Drosophila melanogaster: one gene and its partners. The protein of the gene in region 2 interacts with the protein of the main gene of each other region in a biochemical or structural test. Each region holds a gene or a part of one and is shown on either strand. Other genes may lie near its edges.

Region 1 (8,641 bases), on a different chromosome or scaffold from region 2:
TCCGTTTATTTATCCATAGTCGCGCATTCGGGTATGAATGCATATTGAGATTTTCTATTCATTTTCTACCATTTACTATTTCAGTGCGCCAGAAAATCGACCAGGTGGTGATCAGCCTGATATCCGGAGCAGCGGCGGGGGCGCTGGCCAAGACGGTCATCGCCCCGCTGGACCGCACAAAGATCAACTTCCAGATCCGCAACGATGTGCCCTTCTCGTTTCGAGCCTCGCTGCGCTACCTGCAAAACACCTATGCCAACGAGGGCGTTTTGGCCCTGTGGCGGGGGAACTCGGCCACGATGGCCAGAATCGTGCCCTACGCAGCCATACAGTTCACGGCCCACGAGCAGTGGCGTCGCATCCTGCACGTCGACAAGGACGGCACCAAGTGAGTTGTACTATGCTCTAGATTCTCACCAACTTCATGGCGAATCATTCTATTTTGCAGCACGAAAGGTCGTCGGTTTTTGGCTGGCTCCCTGGCGGGAATCACCTCACAGTCGCTGACGTATCCTCTGGACCTGGCACGCGCCCGCATGGCCGTCACGGATCGGTATACTGGCTATCGGACGCTGCGACAAGTCTTCACCAAGATCTGGGTGGAGGAGGGTCCGCGGACGCTGTTCCGCGGCTACTGGGCGACCGTTCTCGGCGTGATTCCCTATGCGGGCACCTCCTTCTTCACCTACGAGACTCTTAAGCGGGAATACTATGGTAGGAATACTACCTATATCCTAATATAAAATTCTATAGACTTAGGGGAGATGTTCATTTAAAAATTCTTGTATATTGTATATGTCCATAGAATTCGGTTTTAAGCCCCAAGTTTATTGTGGAATTATACAGATAATTTCAATTTAAACCGGCATTCTGGGTCATTGTCATTATTTTGATTATGCTAGTAGAAGTTACCTATATTCTAATTAAGTGCTCACTGAATTTGCCAACTAAATGACTTGTTTGCTTGCAGAAGTGGTCGGCAACAATAAACCCAATACTCTAGTCTCGCTGGCCTTCGGTGCTGCGGCTGGTGCCGCCGGGCAAACGGCCAGCTATCCATTGGACATTGTGCGGCGAAGAATGCAGACAATGCGGGTGAACACGGCTGGCGGAGATCGGTACCCAACCATCCTGGAGACTCTCGTCAAGATCTATCGGTGCGTGCAAATCTTTGTCAACGATTTTATTCATATTTTAATTGCGATTTTAATTACGATTTCCAAACAGTGAGGAGGGCGTCAAGAACGGTTTCTACAAGGGACTTAGCATGAACTGGATCAAGGGACCCATCGCCGTGGGCATCAGCTTCTCCACCTACGATCTGATCAAGGCGTGGCTCACGGAGCTGGCCAACTTGAGACGGGTTGAGAAATAGCCCAGCTCCCTGCCCCTGCCACTCGTCACCCATAAACACCACACCAAAAACGCACTGCTTTGATCTTAAGTCTCGCGATCGATGGATGAGCTGAGGAAATAGAAGTGAAGCACCGACATGCTCTAATTGTTAGATATTTTTTAGCTGTTAGTTGTGAGGGAGAGAAGCGATGAAGTGAAGACACCCGAAAGCGCTTAACTTTGTTATTAACCGTAATTGATTTATTATCGCCGTAAGCCGAAAGTATATCAGCCAATAAACTGTCTGAATAATGACTCGCCTGGCACATACTGCTCCCCAGGACCTCGTATTCAATGGTGTTGCTTTGACAATAACACTCCTAGATTAATGATTACGATTTACCCGAACATTTTGTATATTGTGTATTGCCAACTCAATGTCAAGGCGCTGCGACTGTTAAAATAGTCATGAATTTGAGGGTGTTCACACCAGCATATACTATGTAATTCTTGTATGTTAGTGTGTTTTTATTATTAAAATTTACAAAATTGTTTAACTGATCGATTATCTCAATCGTTTTTAAAACGCGCGCCATCGGTTGTGACAGGTGGCACCTCCGGCGATTACGCGATAACATCTTTTGCGGGGGTGCTGTATATCGAAATATGCTGGTAGTCGCGTTCGCAAAAATTCGAGTGCTCGCAAAACGAAAACAACGTAAATTTAGTGCGTTTTAAAAGTGATAATTAAGACTATTTGCCCTGGAATTAGGTGGCCCAACAGCCGTGAGCTGCAGGCGGTGTTGTTTTAAGGATAAAAAGCGTTTTTCCCCCAACACCTGCCATAACCAAAAAGGCAATCTGAAAGGTGAGTGATTTGCTGTGCTGCGCCGATTGTGGAATGGATTAATTATTTAAGGCCTATTGATTAGACGGGGCACAGCCTTAAAAAAACCCCTCTCCGAGCACCAACCCTCTTCATTTAAAGAGGGTCGGGGGTGGCATTCTCATGCTCGCTTGTTGCTGCGCACAACAGGTGAAAATTCAGAAGTCGCGTATGTTTATATGCAGAATACACAAGAGTTGGCAAAAGACCATTAATTGTGCTTCTCTGCGTCTGGGGTAACCTTGACTTTCGGTGGACAAATCAATCAAATGCAATTAATTACACCGCCAGCGGTGCATATGTGTGGGTGGCAGCTCGTGTGTGTACAGACAACATGCGCACTCATATCTGCGGCGCCACAATGATGCGAAAATGGGTGTAAACCCCCTTTGATAAATGTTTGTTTATCGCAATTAGCTTCGCAAATTGTTTATTCTTTAGCAGCCGACAGTGCTGTTAACTTAACAGGGGTGCGAGGGTTGCACTTCGGGTTATCAGAGTTTTCCACCATCAAATTCATTTTACTTCTAAATAATAACTTCAATCAACTTATTTTTCTTTAATTAACTCACAAAGTTTAGTGGAATATTAGCACGATAGAGATATATATTTCGTAACTTGTTTAGTCTTAATGTTTCTTTTAGAACATCTTTACGAAAAATCCTAAATGCTATTTGTTTAATTATGTGCATTCCAAGTCAAAAATTTATAAGTAATAACAATTCAAAAATTTTGTTTTACCATAGTTATCGAGCTTTGGTCCCTGGTTGTTAACAATATTTTACTGCGCTGCTCTATAAAATTAAATCAACTTATTTTCTAATTAGAATTTCCTATCTTCCCGGTTTGGCAGAGATTTATCAGAATCGATACCCACTGTTAACAGCGATTGTTCACATGTGTTCATCGTCCGATAGTATCGCATGTGGATCGCTTTCGCTCCAACTCTAGAGACGCGGCAGTCGTTTTTTAGCCACTATAGGGAATTGTTCGAATGCGGAGCAATTTTCAAATGCGCAACCAGTTGAATTCTTTTGCAAGTGCACTTTGTTTTCAAGGATTCGTTTAACTGATAGGATTTCCTTTGGTCGAGACTCTAGTTTTTTTTTCTAAATTCTCAGTGCGTGTGCGGGTGTGCATGTGCGTTCCGTCTCCCTCGCACTGCGTCGTGTGTGTAATGTTTGTGTGTGCGTGAAGCCAGCGCGATTTAAAAATAAAACGGCAAATACATAATAAAAAATATCGAAGAGCAACAGCGGCAGGCGTACCAATACAAACTAACCGATACCAGCCAGCCGTGTGTGTTTACACAGTGTTGTGCGTTGGTGTTTGTGTACCAAAGGTAAATAGAAATAGGAGAAAAAGAGCAACAAATTTACGAGTGGTGGGGGGTACGTATATAAATGCGTGTGTGGGTGGGAGGACTCCGCTGCAAATGTGCACTGCGCAAATAATGTGGGTGGGCGTGTGGTGGTTCCGCAAGGCCTTCACGAAGGTTCTCTGCCTTTTGGCCACAAATTCGATGCACCATCATCATGTGTTTCCACTTGACGCTTTATTTATACATCAACAAAATACCCACACACATGCACATGTGTTCTTCACGCTCCTGTTTCCCGGTCTTCTTCTTCCCCGTTCATTGTTGTTTCCTGGAAAGCCCATAAAAACAAAGGCAACAAGAATTTCGAGTGCAATAGCACAAATGGCAGCAACAACAACACTGATATCGAGTATATTAGCTGTTCCCCATCTCACCGTCCCACTCGCTCCCTTGCACAGCGAGAAAGCGAGGCTATAAAACTAAAAATTATATATATTTAATGTCCTCTGTTTAAAAAATTAAGCTTTTTTGTATAAATACATAATACAATTTTTTGTATAAGGCATTGGTAAATTAATCCCATGTGTTGGGGCCCGATTCAACACCTGGTATCACAACATTTGGCAACACATATTTAACTGTTACTCTAGCACTATTTTTTCAAGTGTCTGACGTACGGGGCCCTATCATTCTCATATTCACATGCTACTCTTGCTTTCATACGTCGCCGACTTCTGCGCGCTCAACACTTTTATCTTGCTCGCTGTCGTCGGTCGCTTACTGCCCCCTCCTCCGTCGCGGGCTTCCCCTCTCTCCACCATGACTTCTTGGCCTGGCTATAACCCGGCTGGCTTCTACCACTTCGGACAAATTACGATTGTCAGCGACGCCGACGTTAGCTAACCCCTTGGCGTTTCACATTTGATAAACCCGATCGCATTGCTGTGGACACCGTAGATTATCATTGGTCATAGTGGGTCCTCCAATCAATGGCCAGGTGGACGGTCAACTTACATAGGTTAGTTGGCAGAGGGGTTTCTTCGTTTATGTCAACTAATAAAACGCATACATTATATAACTACCATTATTTATTAACAGTGGTTAAAATCATTAATTTTATAGATGAAAGGGAGATACAATATAATATTGTACTTTATTCAGAATTGTATTTACGGTCTGAGAAACTATATTTTACATTTAAAGTTCACCCTGAATTGAAATAAAGTAGTAATGTGGCTTTTATATATTGAAAATATATTGTATATAGATTCGAATGAACAGATATACTCTAAATGCCACGATACTTAAAACTATAGGGTGCTCAAAGTTCGTTTCCCCAATTAGTTCTTCTATATCGTGTTGGAACTCACTCCCGTCAGATTTGAACATATGTATTTATGCAGCAAAGTTTATCGCCACCAATCCAGTCCACCACATGTGTTTAAAGTTATTTCTGGATCTTCGATATAGGCAGTGCTAATTATTGCGCTATTATGCGAATCACTATCCTCAAGCGCAAATCAAGCCGGCTTCTTATCGGCGACTCTCGTTATTTACTTTGTTACATTGACACCTCGTTATCAAAGTCGTTTATTGCGTTGCATTTCATTGTCGTAAATGGAGCACTCTGCTGCGCCTTCAATAGATTGGGGGCCTACTGTACTTACACATATTGTGCCTGCTTATCGCTGGCAAAATGCTTTTCTGGTGGTAGTAGATGGCCCCCGAACTAGCGAATCAAAACTTCAATCTATAGTTTCTGAGGAAGTTACTTTGAGGAACTTACTACAACGTATTTTACAAATATTTTTGTCAATATGCCCAATTATCAAGTTTGAAACCCGAAAATCTGTCTAGCTCGTAATCAAAGCTGTACTTATTATTAAAAAATTAAAGATCATATTTATTTATTACTTGAAAAACCCAAATCATTGGTTATGGAAATATTGACCCTAATGCTAATTAGTTTTTGAAAAACAAATAAGTAATATAGAGCAGTAAAAAATGGATTCAATAGAGGATTAATACATTTCTGCGAATCTTTTGTTGCACTCCGCTGATAAGGAGTCCCATTTATTGGAATTTTGCTAAGACTTTACAGTTAAGCAATAAAAGACAATGTTTGGTAGCTGTATTGTTTGATAACCTGACTGACTTCAGTCGAATAATCACTTTTCGAACCATTGAGCACCAACACAAGACTGATAACTGAGTGATACCCAACCATGATTGTATTTGTATTGCAGATGACAGTTTGGACAAATATTCCTTAATTACTTTATTTTTTGACAAATAGACTTGAGCACATATTTTATGAGCTTAAGATCGGTGGGATTTATGAACAGATAAGTGAGGTCATCGGGGCAAGTGTGACAACAAACATTGATCTGTTCGCGGAACGAGCATTATGTGGTGATAAGAAACCGTGTGCCGACACATTACTTAGCTCAATATAACCCAATCGATCCGGTGTTTCTCGTTAGACGAAACAAAAGCCGACAAACATCGTGCAAAATGTCAGGCGAGCAGCAACGATAAATGATTACTTAAATAATACTTGGTGTGGCAAAGTGGTGGTGGTGGGGGGGCTCACTTTGGGCTCGGTTGGGGGTGGTGCAACGGCGAGGTTTCCATTGTCGATGTACGGCGTACACCCACACAACCACGAGGAAAAGAACACTGAGGCATGCTTATTAAACTTTTATGAGTACAAAAACAAATACCACAAACGACTCTCGTTTCTCACAGGGCAATCGTAAGTGTGTGCGTTGTTTATAAAAAATTGAACAAGAAAAATATAAAATGAACGCGGCTGGCTGGCACAAATGTCGAAGCAGCAGAAAGCAAAAAGCAAAAAGCGAAAAGAACAGCCAGGAACAACAAAGGCAGCACACCCGCGCTTGGGTGTTTGCAATCGTCGGTTTTCGAAGTGGTCAGAAATGCTTGGACGCCATACTAAGGGCCGAGGAAATTGTAGTGACCCCAACCAAAGCTCTACGGGCATAACAATCCCAACTTTGATGTCATGCCCATACAAATTTTCCCCCCACAGAGTGCATGACTAATATTCAAATTGGTGTGTCCAACTCAAAGAACGCGAATTTTTATAAAGTTATATGCCAACACTTTTATGGTTTATTTAAATAAATTGTATTATTGCTAACATATGTATGAACGTCGAGATCGCTAGAACTTTAAAAGCTAAAAGGTTTTGCTATTGGACATACAAATTCTACGCCCACAATATTTTGTATTTTATTATTAACTATTTTTATTGATATTTCAAATGAATTTTGAATTCCCATTTTATTTTATTGTGCAGAACGTATGCTCCATACAAAAAGTTTGATTCCGCGCAACGAGGTATCACTGTCCCAACTTACCTTTTATGATACGTAGTTCCAACCAGTCTTATCAGTGCCGGGCTGCTGCCATAAAACTTTCCACTTGCCGCACTTGGATTCCTTGGAGCTTTTCAATTCGCATGAAAATGGGAATCTTTTCTATCTGCGGCTATATCTTATTTATACGCCCACTTTGCAGATAACACGTTTTCCAGAATTTTCGCTGTGGCAATAGGCCAGATATTGTGTGTGCATACTGCTTACGGGGATTATTCTCCATCTGAATCTGCAGATTGTTTATCCCAAAAAATTTCGCATCGCACATATAGAAAGATAAACAAAGTGGCTCGGTGTGTGGAGTAACGATTGCCTGGTGCTCGAAGACGATGAGTCATCATCCAACCAAATGCTTATCTAAAATGCGCCCATTCGGCATTTTTTCTAGCTCGGCATATTAATCACACGACTAAAAGTGCAACTGGGCTGTTTCCTCTTTCTTCCTCCCCCCTCCCCTGTCTATCATGCCATTTCTCATCGTATTTCTGTGCTGTTTGTGATTCGCTTTTTGTTTGCCCGGACGGCAGCGAAAAGTCAACTTTTGAGTGGGCAGCTGGCCGGCGAGAGCTTGTTGAGAATCTGTATCTCGTGCGCACAGATACAAAAGTATCTACACATGTCCGTACAAATAGGCAAACACAATCCGTTGGTCAAGAATGTATGTATGCCATAACAATTGGCACTCAATTGTAAATGCATATTACTATGAACTGTGGGTTTTCCCCCGGCGAACGCTGAACTGACTTATATTTTTCTTAGATCCGCTGCTTTACATGCACACAGCCCACAACAAACAACGGATGCAAAAAGCAGCCCAACCAGTTCGCTTTTCACTGCAATTGGCAAACCACTTTCATTGTATGCACTGGTTTTTCATTGTTGAAAACTCAAGGCTCAAGGTCGCAGGAGGCACTAGTTTTTTCTGTGCGCATACTGCTTAACTGTGAAGCTAGGTAGATTATAAAAAATTAATTTAGTTCTCAGAATTTTGGAATTTCCCATTGGTACATGCTAGGATGGATAGAAACTGTCAAACTTCCGGGTGCTAAGAAAGCGTTTTTTTTTGTTTAGATATGTATATATTATACTATATATGCATTGGATATACGGCGATTCTTCGAATGCTCTTCTTCGATAGACGTCAATGCAAATTCAAGTTTTGCAACTGAAAACATTTTTGCTGTCGAGAGATCGAAATGAATTTATATACATACATTTAAAAAATGGAAAGAGCTTCGTTCGTTACACATTTGTTGTGCTTGTGGTCGAAATATACTCGTGTTTGCGCGCTTGAGGCGCTTTTGAGGTCTGTGGAGGTCTGTTGTATACACGTTTTTAACCCCCTAAAGCCGGCCAGCCGCGGTCATTTCTCATTCACCTCTCCATTTGGCGCAGAAGCCCCTGTGGACATGTGTGAACATTTACAACCGCGTATAAATAACGCCGACTAACATATTTGCCTGCAACCAACTAAGTATACTTCGCATTTTACCTCCATCTCCCTCTACCGACTAAACAAACTCACATTCTATATGTGGTCTATATGGCGCTATAAATCGCTAAAGTTGGTGGGGTCGTGCGGGGGAGATGGGTTCAGTGGGTAACTACCGGTTATCGCGGCTTTTGCGGTAAACTTAATGCCGGCCGATGTTTTAGCTACAAAGCAAGGCGAAAAACACGCATCATAATAATAAACGA
Region 2 (7,487 bases):
ATACAGCAATGCTTTCCAACACTGTCAATCTCCATGTCAATAAATACTGAGGTAGATGTGAGTGAACTGCGACTGCTTTATTTTCTCCTTATCGTACAATTAAAGCCCAATTGGAATTGTTAGCGACTCGTTTCATGGGCATTACGGCCGGGAAGACCGTGAGTGACTGTTCTTGTGGCTTCCCCGCACAAATATCAACCTAATACAGTGTAATAATGTCGACAAACCCAAGTCCGCAGCGGCAACAGTCCGAGGACGTTCAGATCTCGATGGCCAGTTCCGGAGGAGGAGCCGGCAATGGCGTTCCGGATAGACTGCCTCCGATCAACGTAAAGGACCAACGCTTCCCCTACTGCATCGTTTGGACTCCCATTCCGGTTCTCACCTGGCTGATGCCCATGATCGGACATATGGGCATTTGCACTTCGTCCGGTGTGATTCGTGACTTCGCCGGCCCCTACTTCGTATCAGAGGACAACATGGCCTTTGGAAGACCCACCCGGTACATAAGGTTGCACCCCAAGCACATGGTGGGCGGCAGTTACGCCTGGGACGAGGCGGTCTCCAAAGCATCTGTGCTCTACGGCACCCGCATCCACAATATCTTCTGTGACAACTGCCACTCGCATGTGGCAACGGCACTCATCTACATGCGCTACTACGACAGCACCGCATGGAACATGATTATCCTCAGCATGTGGCTCTTTGTCTGCGGCCGCTACGTCGGAATAGGGGGTTTTATTAAGACCTGGCTGCCGTTTGCCATTCTCCTGTCCATCTTCACCATTCTGGGCATCTATTTTTAATATTCATATCTATATCAAATGCTATCAATGTACAAATCTATGTACATATGACGTCCAATAAAGGATTCATTCATTTATGTATATGTGTGCTTTTTGTAGTCCCACCACAAAGCAGATAAGGAAAATACCTATCAGGCAATTAAGTTGGTCATTCATTAATGCTTCAGCAACTGTGAAAATACAGATTTTCAATTACTAGTGTTTAAGATAACGTTTATTCAGTGGATATGTCTATAGTTAGTACATATGGCTACGACTTAGTTTGGCATGTGGATGAACTTCAATTAATTCTCGATCGCGCGGGTGACTTCTTCGGCCACTTCAAGGAGTTTCTTCCATTGAATTAAAGATAGGGAGATGCCCTTCTTGCCGGGAAGAATTTGGCCGCCCTTATCGTAGAACTCTCGAATGTCCACCGATTTGCGACCGCGGAACTCGTTGATTCGCACCTGGCGAAGTCCTTCCAGGGTCCAAGATGTAGCACCATTTTCGCCCGAATCTTTTGGATCTGAATTTGGAGCATCAGATTCCTTCGCCTTCTTGCTTGCCGGCTTGATACGCTGAAAGAGGTTTTAACTTGTTATACCTAGTTTTGGTGTATTTCTAGTTAACTTACATCATCTGGACCGCTATCGCTATCTGAGGACGAATCCTTCTTCTTTGTTTTGGGCATTTTTATAGAATTTCCGTAAAACAGAAGAAACAAAACGCAAATTGTCAAAAAATTCGTGAATATTCGCGCAACTTATTCAGTGCTGTGAAACGCGTCGATAATAGTTGTGGTACAACGGATTCCTTAATCGATTCATCGATTTATTACAAAATTTTTAAAAACAGATATTGGCGATCAGTTAGTTACGTTATTATTATAGTTATGTTGTAAAATTTAGATAGTTCTTAGTGTTAACATTTTTCTAGACTTAAAATGAAATTAATACGATGTGCAAATCTATCGGAAAATAGATAAGCGTAGTCTTAGCAGTCCACGCGTACTTTCGCACACTGTTCGGCCGGCGTCATTTTAGAACGCGCATTTTTTTGCAGATTTTTCATTTTGTGGAAAGTCTTCTAGCGCCAACACACAGGCTTATAAAAACCAATTTAGCTGCGTGCATAAAGTGTAGATCTTATTTAATCTAGGTGAGCCATGAAAGCAAAGAGAGTCGACTAAAAATCGTACTTTCCTTTCGTACTTTGCGTGTGTGTGCGGTTGTGTGCGGTTGTGCTAATTCTTTCCTTATTTTTTGTCGTGTGAAGTATTTTAATAAAAACAAAATGGGCAAGAAAATCGACAACCCTGAGAGCTCGGCAAAGGTTTCCGATGCCGAAGAGGAGGAGGAGGAGTACGCCGTGGAAAAGATCATCGACAGGCGGGTGCGCAAGGGAAAGGTGAGTTTTCCGAACCAGACGTCCCATTATATTTGGTCCTAAAACGCCATTTTCCACCTGCAGGTGGAGTACTATCTGAAATGGAAGGGCTATCCCGAAACTGAGAACACGTGGGAGCCGGAGAACAATCTCGACTGCCAGGATCTTATCCAGCAGTACGAGGCGAGCCGCAAGGATGAGGTAAGTGAAGTACAATGCGATGCCAAGTACAGTTGTGCTTGCTAGGATTTCCTTTACATCTCGTTTCGGTCCGTAGGAGAAGTCAGCCGCCTCCAAGAAGGATCGACCCAGCAGCAGCGCCAAGGCCAAGGAAACTCAAGGACGCGCCAGCAGTTCGACGTCCACAGCAAGCAAGCGAAAGTCCGAAGAACCAACAGGTAAGCTATGGAATTGAGTGTACCTACAAATATTTTCTGTACACAAATTGGTATAACAATAGTCATCACCTACAATATCCACTGGCATTTATTTGCCCTTTTCGTCAAAACTGTATTCACATATGTATCTCAAATTTTGTCCTTCGCAAGAATGGCATGCGCAAGAAAAAGATGGTCTTTGCAATAAAAAAATGCATCTATTAAAAAATTGCACTGTATTAATTACTTGTTTTTATTTTATTTATTTAGCGCCCTCTGGCAATAAATCAAAACGTACCACAGATGCGGAGCAGGACACCATTCCCGTTTCAGGATCTACCGGATTCGATCGCGGCCTGGAGGCCGAAAAGATCTTGGGTGCCTCCGACAATAATGGCCGCCTGACATTCCTCATTCAGTTCAAAGGCGTGGACCAAGCAGAAATGGTGCCCTCCTCAGTGGCCAATGAAAAAATCCCACGAATGGTAATCCACTTCTACGAAGAGCGCCTATCCTGGTACTCTGATAATGAAGATTAAACAGTTGGATCATCGAAAGCGAAAAAGAACGATTATACATTTAACGAAAAATTACCCACTTAGAATTATAGCTCCTTGCAGGCGCTTTCAAAACCACCCAACCAACTCTTAAGGCATCGGACTTTTTTCCATAAATGTCCAGAGTCAGTGTCTGTATTTATGATAACCATTTTCAATAAATAAAAAAAACCTTTATTCTGCTGGAGCCTATATAAGTAACTTTTATTTGCGACTTGTTGCTCAACGGTCAGGATATGACGCGCATATGCTGACCATATGGTAATAAGGAGAATTCAATTGGTAATTCCAGAGGTCGAAAGGGATTTTGTAGCCTTAGCAATCTGAGATTATTGTGTGCACATTGTAAATGGACTGTCGGGTCTGTTGGAATGCATGTATTTTGCAGGTAGAAAAACGTTTATTTTGAAGTATCCTTGTTGTCTATCTGCGCGTGCGTATAAACTACAAGATCTTTGAAATTTCACAAGATGAACAAACAAAATGGCGAAACCTGGCTATATGTTAATTTATTCGTTTTATAGCCCTGCATCCTAATCAATTACTTAAGAATTAAGCAGTTTGTTGGCCACATTGCATTCCGAGTTCTCAAGGACATTTCCACAGCAGGACCAATGACGTCTCCCTGGATGTCCAGCATGTCCATGACCGCAGCCACTATATCCAGGCATATGACCCTCACACGAGCACATCACGTTCCGGTTGCCCTTTCCGGAACAGAAGGAGCAGCAGTGGTAGATGCCCGTATGCGGACGAACCTGTCGCGCTTGAAAAGTGAAAGGACCTCCCTTGATGGGCCGGTCGTTAATGGTGATCGTGAGAATCAACGTGCCCTGGGCATCCGGGGTGAAGGATATGTTGTAGGTGCCATCACGATTGTCCGACACCTCAACGGGTAGAAACTTGGAACTGGAGTCCTTGTACTTCAGCATGCAGTTGATCTCCAGGCCACCGTGGCAGAGGGAAACCCCGTCGGCATCTCTAGAGTGAAGCAGAAGATCCGCTTTTTTGTGGAGGCGCAGCTGTGAAAATCCCTCCCACTCAAGGGTGCATAGACTAGGCTCCACTACCTGCATGGTGATGATGCCATATAGAGGGATATCGCGCTGGTCCTTTGTCGACGGAGCACGGATTTTTGGTAGGAAGTGAAGCGAGTCGGATATCTGGGTAAAATGGTTTACTTTATAAAACAATAAAACAAGCAATTTGGTAACCTACCTTGGGATCCACAGGCGGCTTAAATTGCTGACAGTACTCCAAACGCCTTAGAAGTATAGTCACATAACTCAGAATCTCTACATCAGCACCAATCTCGCACAGCTCTTGGCTAAATCTAACCGCATCCATGGCCTGCTGAGTGCGTTTCTCTACAGGACTACGTCAGATAACTAGAGCTTTAACCAAATGAAATATGTCTTACCCAAATCAAGTTGCTGCTTGAGCACTACCTCCACTTTGGACTCCCTAGCTCTGCTGATTTGCTGGAGCAGAGTCTTGCGATGGACTGTCAGGGCATCCATGTACTGCTGCATGTACCGCTCCACTTGAGTCTGGATGTCGTCACACCGGTCGTTGATTCCACGTGCTATGGCATTCAACCTCTCAATGGAGTGCTCCGCATATTGACAGAGGGGACGAGTTTGATCCGTAGCTTCTTTGAGTAGTTTACCCTGATGTCCAATTGCCCGGGATATGGTCTCATGTCGATGGCCTTTATGAAGGATCACCAAACAGTCGGTGCATGCCAGTTGACGGCAGTTGGTGCAAAATGCCTTCAGCTCAAAGTTGGTATGGATTCCGCATCGTAGCACTAGTTTGCTACTATCTCCCAATCCCATCTGCTGTTGCTTTTGCTTCCTGGCGCGTCTAAGTTCCAGGATGCTTCTCATTCGATGGCTAGCGGTGCTCCTTTGCCTTTCGTGTGCCTCCTTGCACAAGGTGCAGAGGTTTAAAGTGCAGCTAATGCAGTGGTAGGTGGCCTGGAAAAGATTATACGCTTTTAGACAGCCTTCAAATCACTTAATGACTTCGTCCTCCTTACGCTAATCTCCTCTGTGCAAAGAGAACACCAGACCCTGGAGATTACATCCTCCCCAGCCTGTAGTCGCAAGACCTCTATGCGTCTCACTAGCAAGTAGTTCTGTGGAAGCTGACGTACTCCACCTAACGAAAGATCCGTGGGATAGTTACAGGTATGACAGCGGATGCAGCGGGTGGATACCTCGCTGGCAAAACTTCCGGTGAATCGGGTACCGATGGAACTGGTCGATCGCTTTCCGTCACTCTTGGACTGTTCGAATAAATTGGGTTTTATAGGACATAACCTCTTTGTATCTTGCTATCTTACCCTTATCACTAGGCGATCCATGGACTTCTTTCTTCTCAATGTAAAACTGGAACCTCGCTGCCTGGCGGGTGATACTGTCGCAGTAAGTTCCGCACTAGATCCACCCATCTCCGATCTTAGACTGTAATTCGAGGGCTCCTCACTGCGAGCTTGATCCTGATCCCACAAAGATTCGTCCTTAAAGTTCTCGCTGACCAGACATTGGAGACAAAAGGAATGCAAGCAATGCAGTGTCCTGGGATCTGTGTAAACATCCAGGCAGATGCCGCACTTGAGATCATCTGTGAAGATTACGGTGTTCTCGGGAGGGGTACTCGGTCTGAGAGTAATGCTGGGTGATGGTGACACGGGGGGAGAGATTCCGGGAGATCGTGAGGGACTTCTGGTCAGTGGTGAGGGTGCATCAAAGACCTCTGGTCTTGGAGTCAGTGAAAGCAGAAGTTGAGTTGGCATCTGGACCTGGGGTTGAGTAGTGTCTGGAGTTGGTGGAGATACTCTCAGCTCCGGAGAAGCCTTCAAGCTGAGTAGCCTCTTGGGATGCAGTTGCTCCTTTGCTTTTATGGGCTGTGCCACCGTAGCATTACTGGCTTGGCTGCTGCTACTACTTTGTACGGAAACGGAGGAGGCACCGCTGAGTATGTTATCCAAAAGGGATTCAGGCGAAGTAGAGCTACCTCCTCCAGCCAAGCTGCTAGTGGGCTCACTGCCACTGTCCCTATCCTGCACACCGAGTTCGACATTGGATAGCCCTGTACCTGATGACCCTGCACCCTGGGCACTATTCGACAAACCCAAAGTCCTAGATCTTCGGATGGAGCTCTTTGGTGCCAAACCCGGTAGCTTTGGCACTGAGGGTAGATGTATTTTCGAAGTCACTTCGCTCTTTGGGGCAATAGTAAAGGTAAAAAGTTGTGGTGCTGATTTGCGACGCACTGCGTCTGGTAAGGGAGCGGTCTGCAGATTATTCTGCGAAGTCTGTGCGTTTTTTCGTAAGGAAATTTTGGCAGAACTCAACTTTATCTTAAGTTTCCCTAAGGATGCACTGGGTGGCACAGCTGGAGTAGGAGGTGGGCTCGGAACAACTATTTCCACATCCCCTCGGATGCGTTCGTAATCCGTTAACTGGCCACTCTTGTTTCCGTTACTCGTTTTTCGCTTGAAAGCGATTTTCGAGCGATTTTCCCTGCTCATGCTTCCCGGTTATGCAATCCTGCAGCTCGGACTACGGATTCCAGGCAATCTGGAGCACCACCGCGTGTTCCCGTTGCAATTGGGACTGAAACTGAGACTGGGTCTCGGACTTGGTTGCTGCCTAATCCAATTACATTCCTCATTGGAAACCCACGGCGCACTGCGAGTGCGAATGGTGGCAAAAGTCTGACACTGACAATTGTGCAATTATCTGTTGTGGTTGCTCATTCTAAATAGTTCTTTCATGACAACCTGTCACTTGCTATTGATTGACTTTCTGATTTTCTGAATCCAGAGAGTATTTCGTGGTATGATGGGTGGGAGAAGATCCAACGGAGTAACCAAAGGAACGTCTCAACTTCCGAGTACCCCGCTAAACCCGTGAAGTGAAACTCTAGATGGACCCGATGTCGGTAGTGAATCAATTATTTTTTCATTTACCACCAAAAGGGAGTGTTCAAATTACTTCTATTTTTAAATGTGGCAATGGTAAACTTAGGTGTGTAGTTTACTACACGTTACTTGAGCAATTGATAGTGAATATATAATAATTTCAATATTACAGAAAACCCATAATGTCATATTAATACTAATAACCTTTTAACATATGTGTTTTTAAAATTGTTCGAATAATAGCGGATAACAACAGTTGAGTATTTTTTCATCTGAATGCAACTAGCTGCTCCAAACTTCCGTTAATAGCTCCATTAGCTGATCGAATGGCCAAGTAACCACTTACATTGACATAATACATTGTGAGGATTACAAAAGCAACGAAGCTTTCTCTCCCACCTAATCTTGCCAAAGCCCCCACACATTTACAACACTCGCTCTTTTACTC
Region 3 (8,519 bases), on a different chromosome or scaffold from region 2:
CGTTTGTTTCATCAGATTTAACCATGTCCTTTTTATTGGACTCTGAAGGTGTAGAACATGTAGCTTGAACGGTTTCTGTGTTAACTTGAAAACCACCTTCTATATCAGATTCAGCAATACTATCATTAGGTTTCTTTTCGTTTTTCTTACGCTTGTTTCTGGACTTTGGTTTCGAGAGTCTGGGTTTGGCTGAATCCTGTGAAGAGTCTTTTGAAATAGGCTCCGCGTCCTTTTCTGAAGAAGATTTTGTTTCATCTATATTAGCCTTTAACTTTGAACTATCCTCTTCCTCATGTTTAGTATCGTTCTCTTGGTGTTTCTTATCAGTCTGTCTACTGTCCTCGCCGGTATCTCTTATAGTTGGATTCGAGTCTCCGCCTTTGCTTAATGCATCCAAATCCTTATCCTGATCTTTCATGATTTTTTTGGGACTGGATATTGATGACAATTTCGTAAAAGCTGACTCCTTTTGATTTAGCCTGTCACTCGGTTGCATTGCACTGTCAAAACTTTCATTACTTTTTTTATCGATTATATTTGTGCTACTTGACGTTTCCGTCTTGTCAAGTGGACCCACTACCGCTTCTTTTTTGTTACCAGATTGCTCTGTTTTTTTATCCTTCTTAGAAGGGTTTTCATTTAAAAGTTGTTTTCTTTCAGTGGACTGAGATATGGCGGATGGGCTTTTGTCCTTTTCGGATTTGGCCGCATTAATAACAGATTTTTCTTTACGACTTAATCTGCCGGAGTTTCGCTTATTCTTAGCAGTGACAGGATCACTTTGCTGAGTCTCCAATGTACATTTAGGTCGCATGCTAATTTCCAGAGATGCATTCTCCGCTTTCTTTGCATCCAAATGGTCGGAAAGTGTGTCCGTTTCAGTTTTGAATTTTTCATTTCGAATCCTGCGCGATTTTCTGCGATTTGATCGTTTTTCCTCAACTTGTTCCGTATCAGTTTCAATAGCCGTGGATTGTTCTAAATCCGTATTGGTACAATCTATTTGCGGTTTTGGACATAATAACTCCTCTTTTTCGTCTTTCTGTTCCGATTCACTAGAAGTTAAATGTTCTTCAACACATTTTATGGAAAAAATAGAAGGTATGTCTTCATTGGAATCTGCTATTGCCTTCTTAACTTCTGTCTCACTGGTCCTACTCATCTTTTTTGCCTTCAACGGTTTACCCTTCAACTTCTTCATTTCAGTCTTACTAGAGCTAGGATTTTCATCCGTCAGTATGGAAGTATCTGATGCTGTAGTGGTTTTGGTTATCTTTACATCCTTAGTTTCAGACGCATCAGGTAGCGACTTCAGCTCTATCTCTTTTTCCTTATCTATTGTTATTAAATCTTTGGCCAACTTGGAGACTGTCACTTTCTTTTCCATCGGAGAGCGTTCGTGTGAGGAATGACTTTCCGCTGGCGACCTTCCTAGTCTCGGACTGCTTCGTCTCATTGTATCATCCATAAGTAGTGTGAGCTCGGTTTTCAGTGTCCGCTTCGACCGACTTTCCCTTAGGTTTTGAGGAGTTGCTTTATCAGACCTAAGCGCTCTTCGCGGCACCGAACTTTGCAAAGCTTCAATTTCTTTCGATTTCTTGGGGGTATTAGCTGGGGAGGAATGATTTCGTTTCTTGGATGGAGTGACTGAGCTAGACGGAATATCAGAAACAGACAAAGATTCGGCTTTGGGAGCTTCATTGTGTTCTTTGTCATGCTGTTGATTTTTTGCTACAGGTGTTTTCTGTTGTTCAATTGGATCCTGGTCAGGAGCAGGCAAGTTTTCTTCTGCAGGTGGTTCATCCTTACTAGAGGATGGTGCCTTAACTGGAGACGGTTTTTCCACTGGATTTTCTTTATCAGCTAAAGTTTGGTCTTCGACTGAAGATTGATCATTCTGAGCGGGCACGACTTCCGAAATGGTTTCTTGCTCTAACTCTTTAACAATTTCAATGACTGGATTTTGTTCTCCCTGCACAGATGTCACTGATACCTCGTTGGCTTCAACTCCCTTACCAACCTCAGCGGCTAAGATCTCTTCAGCCAATTTAAAATCCTCAGCAAGTTGGGAGTCGCTTTCCTCAACAATATTTCCCGCTTCTGCCTTGGCTTCAGCCTTTTTAGCTGGTAATTCAACTTCATTAGTAACTATAACCGAGTTTTCATTGGTTTCCTTCGAATTGCCATTGGGAGATTCCTTCTGAGTTTCCTCCTTATCCTTATCCTTATCTTCCAATTCAATATGATTTTTTGCACTTTCGGATACTTTGCTTTCGTCCAGTGCAGTATCACTAGGTGTGTCCACTTTACAAAGCTGTTCTTCTTCGACCTTTGGCGTGGACTCAGACTTATCCAGCGCAACCCTGTCCGGAGCACATTTAAGATCCGTTTCTTGGTGATTTGACGCCATTTCAATATCATCCTGGGGTAAATTGGTAGATCCTGTGAGCTCCTTGGCATTGTCCAAATCGCTAACTAGTTCATCCTGTTTTATTGGCACTTCTAAATTAACCGTCTCCGTTTCCGGATTTTCTTTGCTCGTATCTATTGAGAGAGGAACATTTGTGTTCAAGCTTTCAATTGTATTTTCAGTCTCTGCTGTTTTAGCCTCCTCCTTTGGAATAATTTTGCGAGGCCTTCCGCGTTTTCTTTTGACTGGCTCTCCTTCCCCATCCCGGCAATTAGCACTTTTTTCCTCCATGGTTGCTCCACGGTTCTTACGCTGCTTTTGGCCACGAGGGCGACCTCGCTTTGGTAAGGACTCGCTCTTCGACCGACGCAACTGGGTGCCCAAAGGTTCCGGTTGATCCAGTCTTTCGCTCGAATAGGTTAGCTTTCGCACGTGACCCAATTGCGAGGTGCTAGAATCTGCTGGAATCTTAGATCTGGATAAGCTACGCGACTTTGAGGCAGACCGCTTTTCGAACTCGTAAGATCGCTCCACATCGATCTCCATGATTTGCTCGGCCAGGTCGAGACTCATGCGCTCCACAGCCTCAAGCGTAGCATTATTAGCTACGTCATACAGCTTGCGACTACCGCTAGCCTTGCTGGCCGAGGATTTCGCACTGCTGCTCGCCTCCGGTGGCTCCAAATCCCGCTCCTTTTTATTAGCCTCTTTGTCACTGGCTGCGAAACAAAAAGCAGAAAAAGTTACAAATGTAAGGGTGTAGCAGAGGTAAGGGTTCACGAGGGCGCTCAGAAATGGACGCCCCAATGGACGTTGGTGCACACTTACCCGCTGATTGCTCATTAGCATGCTTAACCTGTTGGGAAGAAGAGGGTTTCTTTTCGTTGGAGCGGGATTTTCTCGCACTATTCTGTTTCTTATAGATTGGCGGCGGCTCGGCGGAACTGAGATTACTCAAATACGACTGCAGGCGTTCGTAGGTGCTGCTCAAAAAAGACTCCTGATCATTCGCATGACGCTGATTCAGCTCACTCTGCGGCTCCTGGCCCTCGTCGTCGGAAACAACAGGTGTCACAGTGTCTACACGGTTTATGTGTGTTTACATATTATGAATATTATCAGAGGGTTGGCAGTATCAACTAGTTAATAACGCTGACTTACCCGCCACCGATGTGGTCCTGCTTGTGTCCGTTGAAATGTCGATCACCGGCTCATCCTCTTCATCGGAGTCTTGATCGCCGTAAAAGTCCGATTCATACTCATAGGACGAATCGCTGTCAGAGTCCCCGTATAAGTCACCCAAATCTATGGAAAATACGAAGTGGTTATGCACAGCCAGATATGTAGCACAATATCGAACTTACTTAATGGATCTGTTTTGGGTTCAAGCCGCGAAGGCCTTAGATCTGTTTTTTGGGGCTTTACAATGGTAACGGTCTTGTTTTTGCCGGAAGCCCATTTATCACCATTTGCAGATACTGCTGTCTTGTTGGCCACAGAATTGGTTTTCTTGTTTTTTGGACATGCATAAGTTTGCCCAGATGACATGGCAATGTTGCTGCTGCTGCTATTGCTAATGCTTCTGTGTGGGGCAGCATCTTGTGACTTTTTGGAACCTGCCTGAGAGGTACTGGGCTTGGGTACGGTCAGCCTGTGCGATGGACGCATTAGGGCTTCTCCTAAGTGTAGGCATAAAGTAAATGTTATTGATAAAATGCGTCATTGAAACCATTGCGAAATGCCCACCTAGGTCGTCCACCGAATCGAACGACTCATACCGTTCGCGCCTCTTGCTCAGCTTTGACTGGCTGCTCTTCCCGCAGAAGAGGGCTTCCAAGGCATCGTTGGACTCGTCGCTGGAGGAGGGAGATGGGGGGCGTCGACGCCTGTCCTGCGACTTCGAGCCAGAGCCCTCCTTAAGCAGTTCGTCGTCGAGGTACTTGCCATGGAAGAGCTTTTGGAAAATGTCCGCATCAATCGACGACGAGTTGCTCGAGTCTGATGAAATGCGCCGCTGCCGCGGAACGCCGGCAGAAGATGCTGTCGGAGCACTCGATTTAATCCCTGTGCGCGCGCAAAGTAGACAGACAAATCACATTAGAAGTATTTATAGCATTGGAAGCTGAAATCACGCACCTGGCAGCACCAAGTCTTTGTACTCGTCTAAATATTCAATGTCCTCCATACTTCACTTTTCATGTGCGTCGGTCGATCGGTGGATCAATTTGCAATCTTTCAACTGCGCCGCGTCTTATCTATTTCCATTAAGGCGAATCGCGAAAAGTTTGTATGACTTGGCATTCCTTTAGCAGAAGGACCTCATATACCCATTAGCGCACAAATGCAAGCACTTTTTCGTTCTTTTCACCGCAAAATATTCCTTTGAAATCCAGCAAAGATGATGCCGCTGCAATTAACGTGAACGTTGTACAGATGTGCAAAAATGACAAAAGCGTTTAGTGAGCCCGCGCTTCGGTGTGGCCGTTCCGATTAACAATGTTTAAAACACGGTGCTTAAGTCACTTAATAATTTTTAGTGATTCGCAGTCGAACCAATACCAGTTAAGCAAAAATATTATTTACAAATTGTTTGGTGCGCGCCAAGAAAATTGCGCTTGCCCAGCTAAAATCTAAAAATAACTTACATGCAAGGTTGCACATTATCGCTATCAAAATCGATTTCATTGATTTTCTATATATTCTATATCTATATGATCTATTAAATGCGTGATTAAGTTTTTATTCTATATAATTATATAGTTATTAAGTATGTATTATATAATTAAATCAAGGGAAATCAAGAATAATAGCATTTATTATCGGAGTTTTAATAATAGCCAATTATATTAATAGGATTCATTCAAATTGATTTAAACAATTCATTTTGTAGAATTAATATTTTATCTATTATTGTTATCTATTAAATTCATAACTTGAATATATTATTTCTTCGTTTTTTTTTTACTAGTTCATTTTAGAGCCAAAGCAGCCGATAGTTGAGTTGCCTTAGCCTGTCATCTCCAGCTGTCTAAGTGCACGATAGCTGTCACCTCAGCGTCACGACCTATCGGCAGCGGTGCCACCACCAAAGTGACGTGGAACGAAAAAAGACGAAGCGACACGAAGCCGAGCACGTCAGATTCAGATTCACGTTCAGATTCCACTTCGCCCGTTCATATTTTCCAGGTCAGTCGGTCCAGAGGAACAGATAGCCCAAAATGGTGAGTTAAACTAGATGGCAATTGAGTGCGGCAACTAATTAAAACACATTTGCCAGCCCGCTCCAGCCAGTTCAACGTCCGTGGGCAGCGGATCGCGCTCCCCCAGCAAATTGTCGGCGCCACGTAGCGCCGGATCCGGAGGCGGCAGCACCCTGAAGCAGCGCAAGACCACCACCAGCACCACAGCGGCCCGGAGCCGTGCACCCGGCGGAGCCGGAACTGGTGGCATGTGGCGTTTCTACACGGACGACTCGCCCGGTATCAAAGTGTAAGTGAATAACTCGGCTATATTTATATTAAAGGCCCAGTGCTAATGAGACTTTTGCTGCAGTGGTCCCGTACCCGTGCTGGTCATGTCGCTGCTCTTCATCGCTTCCGTCTTCATGCTGCACATTTGGGGCAAATACAATCGTTCTTAAGCCATGCATTTCGTAGCCAATAAAATACTTTCACCTCAACGAGCGTGAACAATGTCGACGTCATCATTTCTTTTGCGGCGAGATAAGAAGAGATCCATTCCGCTTGTTGAGGCATTGGTGTGTTTCCACATGAAATTAATTATACCTAAGCTTAAGTTAAAAACCTGTTTAAACGTAATGCATATTTTCAAAATTTAATCGTTTTCCCCCAATCCGTTCGTTCATCCGGCGGGCTGAGAATTCATTCCACAATTTATCGTGGTCATGTGCATCAGAAATTCCGCGCGCAGCCGTTGCAATTCAAGAACTTGTAAGACATTCAACGAAAAGTGTTAAGAACAAATAAATTTTGTATTAAACAAATGTGTGCCCTGTTGTTTATGGATGGTAGTGAAGGTTTTGTCAGTGTTGTTCTTATAAACTGCATAAATGCATACAGTCTAAAGTGCCCCTCAGTATATAAAGAAATGCAATTTGTATTTATCTTTGTACATATATATTTGTATGTATCTTAAAGACACTGAATTGTTGTTTCGTTCATAAAACACTGTTCCCTGAAGTATTTTGAGCGGTACGAGCATCGCTTTTCCCTGTGATTTCGTTTGCCGCACAAAAGGCAGCCTTTGGTATAGTTCGTCTTTCTCTTGCGGAAGTTTGGGCACTTGGTTTCGATATGGCCTTTCTGGCCGCACATCCAGCAGTGTTGTTTGGTCTGATAGAAGGAGCAGTTGTGTCCCTCCTTCTGCGTGCACCTTCTACAGTCGGAGCAATGCACATAGTTGGGTTTCACACAGGCATCGCAGGACTCGCAGTGCTTGTACGTTTGGCCATTCACCGAGGGGCACTTCCCGCAGCGGTTGCAGTGCAGGTTCTCCTTGGCAGTGTAACAATCGCATTTTTGGCAGTACTTATAGCCCTCTTCAGGGGGCAATTGAAGAAGTCGCAGTGGCACGTTGGTGAACAGCCTCACGGGTGATCCACAAAACCGACTCTGCTTGCCCACATTCGTATATCTAAGGTGATTAGTGTAATTGATCCTGTATTCACACATTTCAAGCTCAGGCATTTCCTGCCTGATGTGGTTAGCTGAATAATAGGGATATATCCAGAATATGGACAGTGGAGTGGATGGCAATCGGTTGATTTGATTATGCAGTTTTCTAAGGCTGCGCAGGGTGTGCGAAATCAGTTCAGTGCGACAGCCAAATGGAGGATCTGTTACAATCACCAGTCGATCGGAACTGGCAAATGAGACATTTTATAATTGCGGTAACCATCATATAATAAATATATTACCTGGTACCTGCCAGGAATTGTTCAAAGGGCGTTCGATCGTAAAAGAAGTGATTATTGCACATATTGTACAGACAGAACTCTTCAGGACCCAGATATTCGGCAAATCTCTCATCCAAATCCAACAGAAAACTTTGCAATTTGTGTCGCAGATGGAAGTGTAGACGCGGTGCGCCCATGCATATAACCTTGCTGATATAACTAGATTAGAAAGGGCTTAACTAAATTGCTGGAATTACCCACCTAGCTCCTATATGCTCACACTGATTTGCCAAGAAGTTGAGCGCAGCTTCATCAAAAAAGTATTGGGCATTGACTTTGTCCTGGGAAAGCGCTGTAAGGCTTAGTGTGGGATCACAAATGGCGGGATTAGCTGGTTTCCTGCATGGCAAGGGATAGTCCCTTTTGGTGAGTGCCGTCCTGGTGGTCTGACCCTTCCACTGATCCGCTGGCAAGTGATAATTGCAGAGTTTTGAGTCCCGATGGGCTGAACAGGCATAATAACCCTGGTCGGGAAGTTGGGATTGTCGGTTGAACAAAACCGTCGGCCCGTGCTCGCAGCGGGGGTGCTGATCCTCGGGAGCAGCATCGTCTTCCTCCATTTCAAGCAGCAGCTTATCGCTTTTATTATCAAACATTATGCTAAAACGTTTATTTATCGTGAACACCACCACACTGTCAACAAGCCGGGGAAGAAGAAGAGTGAGCTCCGGCAGTATTCAAAATGTAAACATTCAACTTTTATTTTAAAAATAAAACAATGCGATTTTTTAATATACCATTCCTTTTCAGTTTAAATCACATGATTTTAGTTGTTTTATTTAAATTATTATAAATTAATTTATATTCGATTGATTTAAGAAAGTGGCAACGCCAGGCACTATTCGATACTTGTATAGATAAATTAATGGAAATTATGCCTTGCCTCCTCTGGTCACACTAAAATCACAAAAGTCTATAAAAGCAGCGTGCAACCAGAAAAATTTCTTTTAATTGAAAATTTCTTGGCGAGCTGTGGTGTGTTTGAAAGAATTCCGTAAAATGTGTACTCTAATGCAAGGCCATGTGGTCTTACATTTGAAAAGAAAGAAAAGCTAAAATATCAATCTCATGCAACTGCAATGAATGGATTAAAAGTAAGTGAACATTAAAATGCATGAATTTAATAGTTACTTG
Region 4 (8,275 bases), on a different chromosome or scaffold from region 2:
GAACCAGCCAGGTGGAAAGGTCCCTCACATTGTCCAAAAGGCCGCAGATACGACGACTTGTACTTGACCTTGATGAGGCGGCGCCATATGTGAGCAACGCGGAGCTGCTGGATTTCGGTTAGTCCAAGGAATAGTATAATCTCTGTGCACAAAGCACCATAATCATTACAAGCTTACACTAAGTTAAATATTATTAATCATTACCCAATACTTTCAGCTCCTCGCGCTGCTCGCATTGTGATGCAGGCGAAACGCATCAAGAACAATGTCCACCCGGATTTTGCTCGGCTCTTCGGCACATGCGTGACGAGTATCTGGGGCTACCGCAGACTGATGCATCAGGTGGAACAGCTGCGGGCGGAGAAATACGACTCGGATAACCTCGACCACGAGCAAAAGCTGTTGCGATTGTGGCAACTGCTGATGCCAGACACTCCCCTCACCGGTCGCGTGACCAAACAGTGGCAGGACATCGGCTTCCAGGGCGACGATCCGAAGACGGACTTTCGGGGAATGGGCATGCTCGGGCTAGAGAACCTTCTCTACTTTGCAACTGCCTATAACGACGCCGCCAAACATGTCCTGCTGCACTCGATGCATCCCACCCTGGGTTACACCTACGCCATTGTCGGCATTAACCTCACCTCCATGGCCTTCAATCTAGTGAAAACGGGCGCCGCCAAAACCCACTTCTACAATTTGGTGGTGCAGCACAGACAGGACTTTAGCACCGTGGAGGATTTCCACAAGTTGTACTGCTATCTGTTCTTCGAGTTTGACCGCTTTTGGATGGAGAGCGACCCACGAAACATTATGGACTTCCGCGAGATTTACCAGTCATTTGAAATTACAAAACTAGAGGCCTTGCACAATGATAGCACTATTTTTAAGACCAATTTGGTTGTAGAATCCGTCTAAAAACACGAATAGGTCAATTAATGTGAAAATGAATTTGTATCTCGCTGTATCTGAATAATTTCTAACTCTGACGATATTGGGAATTGATTGAATCAGATCAGGCTGACCATTTTTGTAAATACATGTTTAGAGTGGGGCTAAATAAAATAATTATCTTGTCATTTTTCAATTTAAATTATCAATTCATTTCGCTTCTAAATCACTTTGTAATAAAAAAAAAAGGAATCCTAAAATAAGTATCCAAATACGACAAGCCCTTTTAATTTTTGTATAAATGCAGATTTTATGCGTTTATTTGAGAGCCATATATAATGTATATTTGTATATGTATTCATATATATTTGAATGCAAGTATGTAAATCGTTAAACTAAGCCTGGAATGTCACACAATAATACTTTAAATTCAAGTCGGAGATTGCCCACTGAGACAGAATAAATAATAATTTAAATATCACGCAAAAGCATAAAAACTAAACGAAATAAAATCAGTAGAGATTGCACAAGAAAATATTTTGACGACTAAAGCCTATTTGGTAATGCCATAAGAATGCTCAAGTCAAATCCCGATGCTCAATAGAGCTTGCAAGCTAGTTTTTGGAGTATCCATATAGATAGTATTCGTTGGTCTAGCGATAGAACTTGACTTCCGCCTCGACACAGTCCTTGAGCAGTTCGTCCAGCTCGTCACTGGCGTGATCCTGCAGAGAGAAATAGTTATTTAGCTCGTCCACGCAGGAGAGCTCCAAGCTGCGCAAGTGCTCCAAGGCGGCCGGCTTGCGTTGCGAGTGTAGCTTGTGCAGCAACGTCAAGTCCGCTTCCGCTTGCACTTGGGTTAGCGGCGAGATCCTCGGATTTGGGGCAAAAACGAACGGCTTAAACACAGACTCGGCGGCATTGGGCGTCCCGGTGAACCAATGGCATGAGATTCCCTTCACCGACAGCACCGAAACGGTAGCCGCCCTCGAGCTGCTCGCATTACTGGCGGATCGCAGCGTCTCGAACATGTCGTGCTGGGTATATGTTCCATCGCCAGCTGGCTTGGGACCACACCAATCCACTGCCGGGGCCTGGGCCTCTGCATCGTGAGCAGCGGCAAAACTGGCAGCGTCATCTAATCCCTCGCTTGACTTGTTCACCACAGTGGTCACAGCCAGTCCTCCGGAGGGCAAACGCAAGAAGCTGGCCTCCAATTTCTCAGCGGCCCATACCTTGCCAGAGCAACTCACAAGCCAGGCAGCAGCTGCATCGCAAGCGATGAAGTTTAGTTTGGAGTTGTCGTGACCGTGACTGGCCACCAAAGCTCCAATCCGGTCTACAGCATCGTCCACATCTTTGGCGACAGCCAAAGTCAAGCTACAAAAAAGTTATTAGATGATTTATTATTTCATGATTTATAATAATTGTAAAAGCCTTAGTTTCTCGACAACATTAAATTTCTGATTGATTCGTTTTTAATTAACTTATGAAATAATGTTGAAATAATAGTATCTTCAAGCATTAATAAGCCCTAAAGGACACGAAAGGATTGGAATGCTAATTACAAACATCAGCCACAAAATGTCATCCTTTGAATAAGTATTTACGTTCTGCATTATATAGACTTCATATGTACATACATTTTTAGTGATGAAAGTTATTTATATTAAGTGCAAATAATTTGCTTTGTTGTGCATAGTTTGTTGATACGCAGATATTGAAAGAGAACTTACCGCACTATATCCGTGCCCAGCAGGCTGTCGCTGTCCTTGGCCTCGTTTTCACCTGCCGCCCAGGTAAGACCTAGGGCCACTCCGCGTTCATTGGCCCCGAAGTCCCCACCCCAGAGACCCGGCTGCGGTTTTTGCAATATAACACGCAACATATCGCCGCCTGTCTCGGCAGAAGCTCCACCGTCAGTCTGAAATGTGAGGTGTTTGGGTGGTGAGTCATTGATCGAGCTTCGTTTTCGGAGGAGTCTGTCTTTACCTTCCCCTCAAGCACTTCGGTGGCATCGTAGAAGCAAACCTCCGAAGCAACGTTGACGTTTTTTTCGTCCTCCGCATTGCGACCGATGATCAAAGTTCCTTCGGCACAGTTCTCGGGCAGAACAACAAAGCAGTCACCGTTGGTCATTTTTATCCGTGCTTTTCTCGCGAAGAAGTTTCTTCAGAAGTGCGCGAGGGAGTTGCAAAATTGATTTTTCCCACAGCTGTTTAAGGTTCAAACGTTATTCAACACTGCCCAATATATATCGTGGAAATGAACCGTGGCGATGAGCCGTTGACTCGTCTGGCAACATCGGACGTTATTTATTTGTTTAGTATGGAGAATTCTAAAAGAACTATAAGGATTAGGTATTTTAGTGTTCTATATATAAAATATTTCCTTATACATCTCCATTATTTAAATGACGAGCATTAATGTTGACAATACTATGATCCAACACCAATAAGAATTCGATTTACTTAAATTACAACCTTCATTTACACCATAATTAGCAGCATTGAATAAGAGAGGGAAGTTATAATGAATATCGGGTTTTCCTTTGAATCTGGAAAAATGCAGACAAGTCGCATCCCATCTCTAAGCATTTTACCCTTCTCTGATAAAGTACCCATCGCTAGAAATCTGCCCATTCGTCTGGTAACCGAGGTTTTTCTTGTTTCGGCGTTAAAATGCTCAAAAACCTGTCTGCATAGAAGGAAAACGCGGAACGTCTCGGAATTGCAAGCTTTTCGCGATATTCGGGCAATTGGAAAAACCGCGCATCCAGCAAAATTGTATCCACTAAGCTGCATTTGTATACAGAGCAGGTGGTGTTGTCTCCCTCTCGCGCCCGCACTGCTCGCTCCCGATGTGCGAGCGAAACAACAACAAACAAGTTACAAGGTGTGTGGAGTGGTGTGTGCTGCTGGTGTTGTTGTAGCTGTAGTTGTAAATACTCGCGCACACAGTGTTGTTGTTGCGCTGGTGGATGGTGTTGTTCAGCGCCTTTTTTGAGTGTTGATTATTTTACTTGCGTGCGTTTGCTACTCGTGGGCGGCTGTGAAGACTGTGAGACGCGGAAAAGTGCTGAGAAAAGCCACGAAAAGCTAGATAAACGCTAACCCACAGCTGCGGGCTGGAAACCATTTATTTAAAGTGCCAAATTGGGTAAAGAAATTTAGAAAATCAATATTCTGTGAGGGTGCTAGCGGCCAATAAGAAACCTCTGCGTGAAAATAGCAAGAAAGTCGAAAGAATTTCAAGTTTTCGATAGACCGCTCCCTGAAAAAAATAGATATTTTCTGTTTTTGTTGTGCGTTGCTTGACGACTTTGACCGCGCGCATTTTCCCCGCCGTGAAACTAGTTTCTTTTTGTTTGGTGGCACACCGCTGATGACGTTTTAAAGCCCTGCTGGCCAGTGAAATTAAAGCAATTGCCCATAAAAATCAATAAATTCAAGCCACGGGTATACACACAATTTGAAGGAAATTTAAGCAGTGCTTTAAGAGACGAGTTGCGGAAACTGGGAGAAACTACCCTCCAGTCCCCAAAAACTCCCCCGAAGGATGTTTTAAATGGGGTACATATATACATGTACACACACCCACCCGTATTCCACCCCCCAAAAGCGCGCCCCCTTTTCCGGCATTTCGTCAACATTAATGTAGCATCTCCCCGCGTGCGTGTGTATGTATCTGTTCTGCCTGACGACAGTGTGTGTTTGCTTGTGTCGAAAGTGCATTGCTCTTCATTACAAAAGCAACGTGCAGAGCGGCCTCGTTTCATATGGCCAAGTGTGTGTGATTTTACACCGTTAAGTTAGAGAACTCCAGCTAACCCGCTGTTGGCAACACGCTGGCTGCGTTTTTCTTTTTCGGCAGTTGGCAACACGCTGACCCAATAACGGTACAACTAGACCCGCACTCTCCTCCGCCGCGATCTCTCGCACAGATGCGCATGCATGAATGAAACAGAAACAGCACCCGCATGCCGTTATTATTATTATTATAATAATTGCCGTTGTTGTTGTGAAATCTCCGCGACCCACATATTTGCGTTCGATCGCACATTGGGACCAAATCGACATCCAATTGGATTCGGGGCAGGGCTGCATTTTCCTGTTTTATTTTTGGTAGCCCATTTAAATCAGGTTCAATGAACCAACACCAGCCCACGGAATGCCGCAGAAGAGAGTGTTTGTGTGTGCGTTGCCCGTTTTGTGAAAGTTAAAAATATTTGTTGTTCGTATTGCTGTGCTAAAACCTCCTATCAATATTCGGTGGCATAGCTGTTTATATTTTCGGCCGTCTTTATTTAAATGATTCGACATACATAATTAGCATGTATTATTAAGCAGCGGCAAAATTACCTTGACATTGAGAGATTATTTGTGTGTGCGTGTAAATGTTCTGCGAACGGGGCTCCATGTGCCATCTCTCTCGCTCTCGCTTCGAAGGCCAAGTTGTAAATACAAGCGCACAATTAGGTATAATATTTTATAGGGCTACTGTTTTTGTTGATGTTATTGTGGAAAAACCGAGTGCGAATGACCTTGCCAATAGACACCTGCCTCGATAGCAGCATATTATCGATAACGAGAAAGGCCGGAACCTCTATCTCAAGATCGTCGACTTCGAGCGGGGTGGAGCGGAGCTCTGATAAAAAATGTTTTATATAGACTCTACGTTCTTTAAATTATTACAAAAATGTGAAAGAAAAAAGTAAAGAGCATGCTTATTTTCTTGATAAGGAAAGCTGAACAAATAAATTTCTTATAAATTTTACTGCTAATTCCATACAAATTTGGTAAAAAGTCGTTGTTTTTATTAGAAATACTATTACAAATAAAATTCAGAAGATTCGTAAGTGCATCATACTTATGTATGTTCAACTTTTCGCTCAACTTTCAACGCTCCTCTGGTAACGTTAATTGGACCCAAATATATTGAGTTTTAAAAATCCTCTTTTTACTTAAGGAAAATTCTTATATTATATATATATATATATATATATATATATATATATATATATATATATATATATATACTTGCAGCTCCAACAAAATTCCGTCTTCATTCAATGCGAAACTGGAGCTAGACTCCAGCAAAGACGACACCATTCACTCCACAAGCTTGAACAAGAAGCTGGTCAAGATTAAAAAGTTCAAGTTGGACGATATGAAGGAGATGGTGGGCGGCTGTTGCGTTTGTTCAGACGAGCGGGGGTGGCCGGAGAACCCGCTCGTCTACTGTGACGGCCAGAACTGTACTGTGGCAGTGCACCAGGCGTGCTATGGCATTGTGACGGTTCCCACTGGACCCTGGTACTGTCGCAAGTGCGAGTCCCAGGAGCGAACCTCTCGCGTCCGATGCGAACTATGTCCCTCGCGGGATGGCGCCCTTAAGAAGACGGATAATAGCGGGTGGGCGCACGTTGTTTGCGCCCTGTACATCCCAGAGGTGCGATTTGGGAATGTGACCACCATGGAGCCCATCATATTGTCATTAATACCGCAGGAGCGGTACTCGAAGAGTAAGCTATGTTTAAATGTTTTATATTTACATATATTATTTAAAAAATGTTACTCATTGAAAAATTATAACCCCTGTTTGTTAAACTAGCCTTAGCTAAATGGCAATAATTAATTACAATCCGTTTCCATTTTCAGCTTGCTATATTTGCCAGGAAATTGGCAAACCAAATCGTGCCAATGTTGGCGCCTGTATGCAGTGCAACAAATCGAATTGCAAGCAGCAGTTCCACGTCACCTGCGCCCAGAGCCTTGGATTGCTCTGCGAGGAGGCTGGTAACTATCTGGATAATGTGAAGTACTGCGGCTACTGTCAGCACCATTACAGCAAACTGGTGCGTATGTGAGGGATAGCATTCGTGATTTTTCCGTTCAAATTCTTGATACTTTGCAGAAAAAGGGCGGCAACGTCAAAACAATACCTCCATATAAACCCATTCAACATGACACCTCTTCCGATTCGTGTTCGTCGCCCGAGAAGGAGATCGATTCAACCATGAACTCCGCGACAACTTCGGCCACAATCATAAAGATTACCAGCAGCAGTGGCAGTGCTGGTGGCAGCAGCAATGTTTTGAATGCAAGCTCCAGTGCTGGAATCTCTGCTGGAAGCAGCAGTGGGAGTGGCGTATCATCTTCCGCAAAGCAGCGCAAGAGCAATGCATCAAGTAAATCATCTAGCAGCAGTAGCAGTAGCTCGTCATCCTCAACAGGAGGGGCTCCCAACCCCTCCTCGAGTTCTGTGCATTCGGGAAGTGCTAGCAATATGACAGGAGGAGGAAGTGTACTACCAGGGAGTAGCAACATCGGCAACATTAGCAATAGTTTAAACAATAATCTGCCCGGAGGCAGTTCGTCCACCAGCAGTGCTGGAAACGTGCCTGGTGGAAGTGGGGGAATTATATCAGCTTCGAGCGGTGGTGCTACGCAATCGACAAGCAGTCAATCGTCAACAGCACCAGGAACCACCAAATCATCGGCCAGCAGTTCGAGCAGTAGTAGCAACAGCTACAAGGAGAAACATAGCAAAAGCTTAAGCAAATCCACATCCAGCAAGGACAAGGATGGAAAAGATAGCTCTACCAATTCAGCGAATAACAATTTCACAAATTCATCTGCATCATCAACATCTTCCAACTCCTCGTCGACACGAGAGAAATCCTCATCAAAGCTTTCTAAGAACAAAGACTCCAATCAAGTACCCAGTGCCACCAGCAGCTTAAGCACAACGAGCAGTATCAACACCCAGCCCAGTTCGTCGACTTCAACTGCTACAGCTGGATCGGGCGGTACTGGGACTCATGTGAGCAGTTCGGCTGCCAGTGGACTTAACTCAGCTCCTTCCACAACCAATGAGCATTCAAATCATGCCCACACCCTTAGCACAAATGGAACCGGAGCCGGAAGCGCAGCCGGAAAGTTGCAATCAGTCAGTAATCTGAGCAACAGTAGTTCTGGTTTTGGATCGGATCTGCGATCAGTCAGCACATCCTCAAGCTCCACTGTGAACGACTCCACCGGAGGATTCGGTAGTAATTCGAATTCAGAAAGGGAGAATTTGTCAGGCGCTGGATCGTCGGCAAGCAACATGCCTGGAACAATAGCTCCTGGTACTGGTGGCGTATCTTCCAGTGCGGCCACTAATCTAAGCACCAATAAGGGAGGCTCTTCGTCATCGACGGCGAATAGCCTTACATCTACGAGCACTTCCTCAGGCAGCTCCTCTAACTCGTCATCGAAAAAACGAAAAGCGGATTCTGCTAAGTCCACTAGCAGTATTTCCACCTCTGGCTCCGCTCTGGAGGATAACAATAGGTGGGGAACGAGAAACGCAAAGAAAAGGTCTTTTACAATTTACATTT

Evidence for each region.
Region 1: the proteins of Su(var)205 (region 2) and Stat92E form a complex in vitro, tested with the Drosophila melanogaster proteins (one study listed by BioGRID).
Region 3: the proteins of Su(var)205 (region 2) and Su(var)2-HP2 form a complex in vitro, tested with the Drosophila melanogaster proteins (2 studies listed by BioGRID).
Region 4: the proteins of Su(var)205 (region 2) and Alh form a complex in vitro, tested with the Drosophila melanogaster proteins (one study listed by BioGRID).

Annotation. Positions count from the first base shown.
Region 1 is NT_033777.3:20,545,643-20,554,283, reverse strand, and holds the start of Stat92E (Signal-transducer and activator of transcription protein at 92E), read left to right. Parts: upstream 1-3,176; 5' UTR 3,177-3,563; intron 3,564-8,641. Other genes in the region: att-ORFB (uncharacterized protein), read left to right, coding at 1-31, 85-388, 449-700; DPCoAC (dephosphocoenzyme A carrier), read left to right, coding at 85-388, 449-714, 971-1,157, 1,228-1,375. UniProt on the Drosophila melanogaster protein: Might play a role in signal transduction and activation of transcription.
Region 2 is NT_033779.5:8,205,438-8,212,924, reverse strand, and holds Su(var)205 (suppressor of variegation 205), read left to right. Parts: upstream 1-1,802; 5' UTR 1,803-2,081; coding exon 2,082-2,195; intron 2,196-2,258; coding exon 2,259-2,375; intron 2,376-2,451; coding exon 2,452-2,572; intron 2,573-2,821; coding exon 2,822-3,090; 3' UTR 3,091-3,299; downstream 3,300-7,487. Other genes in the region: CG8372 (uncharacterized protein), read left to right, coding at 216-806; Ssb-c31a (single stranded-binding protein c31A), read right to left, coding at 1,091-1,366, 1,423-1,479; CG8419 (uncharacterized protein), read right to left, coding at 3,654-4,271, 4,327-4,475, 4,529-5,087, 5,150-5,398, 5,456-6,646. UniProt on the Drosophila melanogaster protein: Structural component of heterochromatin, involved in gene repression and the modification of position-effect-variegation. Recognizes and binds histone H3 tails methylated at 'Lys-9', leading to epigenetic repression.
Region 3 is NT_033778.4:14,613,272-14,621,790, forward strand, and holds the start of Su(var)2-HP2 (Su(var)2-HP2), read right to left. Parts: upstream 4,848-8,519; 5' UTR 4,596-4,847; coding exon 4,547-4,595; intron 4,475-4,546; coding exon 4,157-4,474; intron 4,090-4,156; coding exon 3,775-4,089; intron 3,716-3,774; coding exon 3,572-3,715; intron 3,491-3,571; coding exon 3,239-3,490; intron 3,130-3,238; coding exon 1-3,129. Other genes in the region: Sec61beta (Sec61 beta subunit), read left to right, coding at 5,629-5,631, 5,688-5,899, 5,963-6,050; CG12863 (uncharacterized protein), read right to left, coding at 6,562-7,291, 7,347-7,535, 7,587-7,981.
Region 4 is NT_033777.3:7,119,415-7,127,689, reverse strand, and holds the start of Alh (alhambra), read left to right. Parts: upstream 1-3,504; 5' UTR 3,505-3,751; coding exon 3,752-3,786; intron 3,787-3,951; exon of another isoform or gene 3,952-4,050; intron 4,051-5,936; coding exon 5,937-6,415; intron 6,416-6,551; coding exon 6,552-6,748; intron 6,749-6,807; coding exon 6,808-8,228; coding exon of another isoform or gene 8,229-8,255; intron 8,256-8,275. Other genes in the region: CG10068 (uncharacterized protein), read left to right, coding at 1-117, 218-918; CG10098 (uncharacterized protein), read right to left, coding at 1,545-2,271, 2,628-2,815, 2,884-3,030.